Linked DNA regions of Mus musculus. The protein of the gene in region 1 interacts with the protein of each later gene in a pairwise test. Links are inferred from orthologs where the notes say so. Each region holds a gene or a part of one and is shown on either strand. Other genes may lie near its edges. The genes, in order: Rapgef4 and Bmerb1.

The links.
Region 2: the proteins of Rapgef4 (region 1) and Bmerb1 interact in binary tests that used the Homo sapiens proteins (3 or more experiments, as listed by UniProt). The link is inferred for Mus musculus from reciprocal best matches to the Homo sapiens genes RAPGEF4 and BMERB1.

Annotation. Positions count from the first base shown.
Region 1 is NC_000068.7:72,193,949-72,197,768, forward strand, and holds part of Rapgef4 (rap guanine nucleotide exchange factor 4), read left to right. Parts: intron 1-1,688; coding exon 1,689-1,773; intron 1,774-2,267; coding exon 2,268-2,328; intron 2,329-3,820.
Region 2 is NC_000082.6:14,091,015-14,094,834, forward strand, and holds part of Bmerb1 (bMERB domain-containing protein 1), read left to right. Parts: intron 1-2,874; coding exon 2,875-2,989; intron 2,990-3,820.

The DNA.
Region 1 (3,820 bases):
TATTTAAATTTCAAAAAAATAATGTACTAAATCAGTAATTTGAATAAAAATGTAAAGCTCTAGATTTTTAAAATGCAGATGAACGAAGCAATAAAGGTTTCATATTGCCACTCATGTATAAATGCACCTGAACACCCACACATCGGCTCCCCCAACTCCAATATTGAATCTGTCAAGATTTTAGAACCGACTTACATGTAAACCTTTATTTTTGAGGTTGTGCCCCCCCCTACCTTCAGCTCACTTCACAGCCAGGGGGTCAGGTGATCCAGTAACTCCTTTCGATTTTAGCCAAGTGTCTAGGAGCATTTGTGCTATTTACGGCTGATGTCAAGAAGCAGGAACAGCGGGGCTGCACCTCAAGCTGGAGAGTTGTAATCCTATTACATCTCCCTGAGCCTTTCCCCCACGGCTGCCCCTATGGCTGCCCCTATGGCTGCCCCTATGGCTGCAGATGCCTGGGGGTGACTGGATTGACTTTTAAATCCCGAAGGGTCCTTGCCTCAAAGTCCCCACGCGTGAGTCAAGTGGTGGATTGGGCACTTGCTAAGAGGGCCTGGCTCCTCTGGCATCCCTGTGGCCCCAGCTTCTCTTCGTTATCTTTTGAGGTCCTGTGCTTTCTAGGTGACACCACTGAGCACTGGACTGGTATCCAATCCAGTGTCCTTCAGTGATGATCCTTAGCGGGAAATGAATGAGGCTGGCATCTTCCAAGTCCTGGATTTGTGTAGTCAGGATTAATAAACAAGTCCTCCTTTGATTCTGTGTAATAAGTACATAGTATCCTGTTGTTCAGGGTAAAGCTCTCTTTATGAAGGTCATGTGTAAGTTGTGACATTTTCTTCCTCCAGCTATCTCCGAGGAGGCCTGCCACTTACCTTGGGTGATAATGTTATTAAATACCCTTTAATGACATTAATAATTCCAAAATAAACTTAGATAGAAAAGGCAGTTAGGAATTTACTCAGTTTTCTAATGTAAAAATGACCCCTTACTCCGTACAACAAAGGTATATTACTAACTTTATGTAGTACTAGGCTTTGGAATTAAAAAAACAAAACAAACAAAACCCTTTTACACAAATCACTAACCCGTTGTGGTCGGGGGTAGTCCACAGAACAGAGTTTCACATATATGGATGTACCTCCCCTTCCTTCTCTTAGAAATTCCAGGCAGTGTGATCTGTCTCATTCATACCTCAAGAACATGCCTCCTTAGGGATGGGTAAGAAATCACTCGAGTCCTCTGGGAGGAGCAACATGTATAATCCAGAACAGTGACAGCCCCAGTGTTACCTTAAGATACTCTAGGAATGTGAATCCATTGTCAAGTTGACCAATCAAGTGTCCCTAGAGCTCAAAGAGACAAGTTTTGTCATTATTGATTAGGGTGTAATAAAAAGCAATGCTTTACAATTACTTACAAAGCCCCAGGTAAGTTAACCAATGACCATGCAGAGGGTTCTTCCTGCTGAGATTGGAAGGGATGGGAGTCTGTGTCCATTCAGCTCCTCCTATATTCTTCCAACTAGTGCACACATTCCTTTCTAGTCCCTGTCGGGATTGCTATGGCTCAGAGCCTCCCTCAGTATCTTTTCATATAGAATAAACCCCTTAGCGTGTTACTGACCAATGGATCCCATATTTGAAGCGTGTGTAACAATGCTTTGTCACTGTCTTTCTCTATAGACCTGGCCAGAGGACTGTGGATGACCTAGAGATTATCTACGACGAGCTCCTTCATATTAAAGCCTTATCCCATCTCTCTACCACAGTGAGTATCTCTTAATCAAGCTGTGGTGCACAGGCATCCACTCAAGCAATCACCATACACACGAGAGAAAATTAAATACAAACCACAGGATGAAAAAAATAACATCTCAGCCTAAGAAATGACTCAACGTGGGTATAGCTACAAGCCTGACAACCAGAGCCCCATCCCAGTAGCCTACGTGGTAGTCAAAGAGAACCAGCTCCCGAGAGTACACCGTGTGTGGCATGCAGTCACCCCACAAAATAAATAAATGTCCCTTAGAGGTCTGCCTGATGGGGATTGTTACAAGCTTGTCTAGACAGTAGTTTTGGAATAGACTTTCTGATCCAAGTAGAAGTCTAGTGAAAGTATTTCTGGATGATAGGAAATCGTATAATCTGTGTGATAGATAACTTTAGGCGAGCCTGAAAACCACCTCTAACGGGCACCACGCAAAGCACAAGTCCCTTCTCCTGTCCCTTGTCTTCCCACATTTTTCTTTTTTCCCCCCCTAGGTGAAACGGGAGTTAGCAGGTGTTCTCATTTTTGAGTCTCACGCCAAAGGAGGAACTGTGTGTAAGTGAGAGCCCTAATGGAAGCGCCATGCCTCACCACACTCCCTGCTGGGCAGGCCTGGCCACACCCTCTGGTCAGGCTTGGCCACACCCCCTCCCTGCCTGTCACGCCTGGCCACACCCCTTGCTGTTCATCAATGCCCCACTCTCTCTATTGGCCCTACTCTGACCTGGCAGGATATCACTTGGCACTTGTCCTTTTCTGGACTCGTGACTATTCCATCCTGTGTCAGTCAATCTGAAGTTTGGTGGGTATTCCAGCACCACACATGTAACACTTGCCAGTCTGAGTCCTGCAGGCTCTCTACCCCACTGGCTCAATACTGTCTAGAACGGGTGGGATGAATCAAGTCTCTACTCTTCCTGCAGGGTTCTGGGTAGTAACTTCCATATAGTGGATATAGAAGAACTAATCTGTGGCTGAGGGATAGTTCAGATAGCAGAGCACTTGCCTAACATGTTGAAACCCTCCCTGGGTTCTATGCTGAGCATTGCATAACCCAGTGTGGGGAGGAGGGTTGAGAGGGTGCTCCAGAGAGGGAAGTAGGAAACTTTAAGGTTCAAGGTCATCCATGGGTATAGAGCAATTTTGAGATCCAGTCACAAAAAAAAGGTTGAGGTTTTTGGTTTTTTTTTTTTTTAATGAATTAATTTGGCTCTGGAAATCTCCTGTTACAGTTAAAATACTTAACACACCTTAAGTTATCATTGACAATACTGTGTAAAGTATTGTGTTTCTTGTTTAGTTTTTTTTTTTTTTTTCATCATGCACCATGGGCTCCAAGCCCAAGAGAACTTCTTTGCCTCAGATAGTCACATAGTGTCAGTCATATGGGGGCTTCTCTCTGGAATTCACATTGTCCTTCAGTTCTGTGATCATAGCTGGAAGCAAGAAGTTTAGACATTAATAGATGCACGCAGCATTGCTGATGCTGGTGTTTCCCTCTAGTGGACAAAATCTTTGCTGAGCAGTTGGGGTTAAGGTCAGAAGATGAGTCAGCATGTCAGGGGTTATGAGGGGTTCTGTACGAAACTGAGAGGGACGGCTAGAGATAAATGGAAGTAAACCAGGGACACATGGAACACTTTGTTAGTCCCCAGCAATGAAACAAACTTCCAGGAGACCTGTTTTGGAAACTTTTGCTCTTTGTTAGATACATTGTGGTAGTTAAAAATAAACAAGAGATATGAGTTAGAGATGGAAACTGAGCTTTAAACATTGTATCTCAAAATGTCTCCCCCCCCACACACACACTCATTAGGAACACTATTGCTAATACCGATATCTCTGTCAGCAAGAAACCCAATTTTTTTTTTGCCTTTTCAGGATCATTTTTGTATAATTTTTATTTTTTGTTTCTTTAGTTCTCCTTTATTTAATTCGTTTTCATTATTCTGTTAATTCTTTTTATTCGAATCACTAGTTGTTTTCACTGAACTATGAAATATTTAAATGGATGAAAACAGAGATTATTAAAATAGCTTATTTTTAT
Region 2 (3,820 bases), on another chromosome or scaffold:
TCTGAAGGAGTCTACACTGAACATGACCAACAAAATAGACTGGGCCATGAGAGGAGAGAGGGGGAGGAAAAATGAGAGAAGAAGAAAAGAGAGACAAGAAAGGCAGCCAACAGAACTAAGAGAGTTCATTAAAACCAAGAGAGCCAAGAAAGCATGCATGCCCCAAATGGCTGAGTTATATAGGAAAACGAGAAGCTGGGGGAAGGGAAGTGGACCCTGGGCTGGAGAGGTTTAGAGTAGAGAGAGGACTGGGTGAGAAGGACCTAGGACTCTCTAACAGGTACTTGTGCTGCTGGAAGAACCTGGCAGCCAGCATCTGCTTTGATATGTTAGCAGGCATCTACCTCACTTAGCCCTTTGTCCTGAGTTTCTTTGGGACCTGACCCTGAGTAGGTGGGATAATGTTGGCAAGCTGGGGGCTGCAGCAGTGAGTGGGCACATGGAGGCAGGGGGGCAGAGTCACACCTGAGCTCCACCCACAGAAGCCATGTCCCCTCGTCCAATGGATGACAGTCAATGCCCAAGAGCTGAAAATCATCCATGCTTGACACGTGCTTGGTGGCGGTATTTCTGTCAATGAGAAAGCTTTCCCTTCCCTTCCCTTCCCTTCCCTTCCCTTCCCTTCCCTTCCCTTCCCTTCCCTTCCAGGAAGTTCCATGCATCTTGTGCATTAAACACCCACAGATTCAGCCCCCTGGAAAAGTAATATCCCCACTGAAAGTTACACTGACCCTTTCTTGTCAAGATCCCTGGCAGATACACATGATTACTGTTAACTTAATGCTTGTGTTGTGTTCCATGTTACGGGCAGCCTGAAGTGATTTAACATATACAGAGGAAATGCAGGGCCACAGGTTGTGCTGGCTGGTTTTCTGTCACCCTTACACAAGCTAGAGTCAACAGAGAGGAAGGAGCTTCAGTTGGGGAAAAGCCTCCATGAGATCCAGGTGTAAGGCATTTCCTCAATCAGTGATCAATGGAGGAGGGCCCAGACCATTGTGGGTGGGACCATCCCTGGGCAATTTGTCCTGAGTTCTGTAAGAAAGCAGGCTGAGCAAGCCATGAGGAATGAGCCAGTAAGCAGCATGCCTCTGTGGTCTCTGCATCGAGCTCCTGCCTCCAGGATCCTGCCCTGTTTGAGTTCCTGTACTGACATCCTTTGGTGATCAACAGCAACGTGGAAGTATAAGCTGAAAAACCCTTTCCTTCCCAACTTGTTTTTTGTTCATGGTGTTTTGTCACAGCAATAGAAACCATATGTAAGACATATGTAAATATGGTGTGAGAGAGCGCCCATCTAATGTGTCAGGTCTCCAGGAATGTTGTCCACCTCCCTAGAGACAGGGTCTCTCATTAATTAGACCAGACTGGATGGCCGTTAAAACCCAAGGATATGCTTGTCTCCACTTTACCAGCACTAAGGTTGTCAGTGGGTGCAGCTATGCAACTGTCTTTCTGTGAGTCCTGGGGATTGAACTCAAGCCCTCATGCTTGAAAGGCAAGCAGCTTACCAAGGAGCCATCCCTTAGACCCTCCCTAGACCATGACTTTTCCAAACCTCTGTTTCTCCATCTGTAAGATACAAGAAGGAGCACAGTGCAGTCACATTAGCAAAAGAAGACACCAGCAGAACTGAATACAGCCCAACCTAGATTGCAGCTTAGCCTCAAGACTCCCAAAGCATGACCCCAGCTTTTGTTGGCACGGGAAGTTGGAGGGACATTGCACTTACCAAATACCTACTGTTCATCCTATCAGATGATGTCTCTGTTGCAACCCTTGGATATTTGTGAGTTCAAGGCCATCTTGGTCTATATAGTAAGCTCCAGGACAGCCAGGTTCTTGTAGAGAGACCTTGTCTCTAAAATCAACAACAACAACATTCACCCACAAACAACAACAAAAGCAAGCAAACAAAAAATAGTTGATAGAACCTGAGGAACTAATCCTGCCCTAGTTAGCATTACTATTGCTATGATGACACCATGAGCAAAAAGCTTGAGGAGAGGAGTGGCTTACACTTCCACATCATTGTTTATCATCGAAGGAACCTGGAAGCAGGAGGTGATGCAGAGGCCACAGAGGAGTGCTGCTTACAGGCTTGCCTTGTGGTTGTTCAGCTTGCTTTCTTATAAAACCCAGGACTGGGCTGGAGAGATGGCTCATCAGGTAAGAGCACTGACTGCTCTTCCAAAGGTCCTGAGTTCAATTCCTAGCAACCACATGGTGGCTTGAAACCATCTGTAATGAGATCTGATGCCCTCTTCTGGTGTGTCTGAAGACAGCTACAGTGTATTCATATAAATAAAATAAATCTTAAAAAAGAAAAAAAAAAAAAAAACAACCCAGGACCACCAGCCCAGGGATGGCACCACCCACAATGAGCTAGGCCCTCCCCCATCAATCACTAATTAAGAAGATGCCCTCCAGGCTTGCCTACAGTCAGATCTTCTGAAGGCATATTCTAAACTGGGGTTCCTCCTCTTGGGTGACTTTCATTTTTATCAAATTAATATGAAACTATCTAGCACAGCATCCAGTGTTGGCCACTAGCCTCCACCTGCATCCACAGACATGAATGAGCACACAGACACAAGAGTGTGCCTGTTTACACACATAAACGCACAAGCGGTCATAGTGCCTCTTCAAATTTACCCAGAGGATGGAGTAGTGGAGCCGCATGTCCAATCCTGTCCCCTCAGACTCAGTGTTTCTGCTACTTACACTCACTTCATGCTTTGTTCTGTCTTGAGACAGGGTCTCATGTGTTGTCCCAGGCTAGCTCCAAACCCACACTCTCCTGCCTCAACATCCTGAGTGCCGGGATTGCAGACATGCACCAGCATAGCTGCCTCACTGTTTTCTCCCTCCCAGAAAAAGAAAAAACCAAGCTGCAGAAGCAGAGAGAGGATGAGCTCATCCAGAAGATCCACAGACTGGTACAGAAGAGAGACTTCCTGGTGGATGATGCCGAGGTGGAACGCTTAAGGTGGGCGTCAGGCCATCAGATCCCGAGCCTCTACTTCCTGCACCGCCCTGCAAACCCACTATCTGCTCCTGGAATGTATGGCCTTGCCTAAAAGGCAGAGCCTCTGCAATTGCTCTGCATACACAAAACCCGCCTGACCTCAGAATCCGTCTCATATTCAAGAGAACAACTATGTCATCCTCCAAAATCTCGCAGAGTCCTGTATGTCTCAGCTGATGGTCATTTAGGCAGGTGGGCAGGAAGGAATTCCGTCATGTGATAGAGGAGAAAGTTCCTATACATTGTCTGGATGCATCAAAGCGACTCTCAAAACTTGTCAATATGTACAGAAACCAGTCCCCATGACAACCTCTCCCAAGTTCTGAGAATTGTGCTTTCCCTCATCTTTCCTTCCCCTCTTGCAGTTATCTTGGGCTGGGAGCCCCTGGCTCTGGGGCTGTACGACTGACTAGAGGCCTCTGAAGATGCCGGGCCTGGGTGCAGCTATGTCTTGGATATTTTCATCCCAAGACAAAGTCTTTGGAGTCTCTCTCCATGTAGGGGGCAACTTCCTCTTCTGCCGCAGACCCTCTGGGTCCCTGGTCTTTGAGGAACAGGATTACTTAGGCAGATGGGCAGAAGAGTCGGATGTAGTGACAATCAGTCAAACACACAAGAGAGGTGTTGAATCTGAATGCAATTTTCCAGTTGAGCATCAGACTTTTATAACACAGAATAAATTGCAGAACAAGGCACATTGAATTTTTCCAGGTGCAAAAGGAGTGACTTCAAAAGGAACCAGATAAATGTATAACACTAGAGATTAGCACAGATGCAAGGGGAGTGACTACA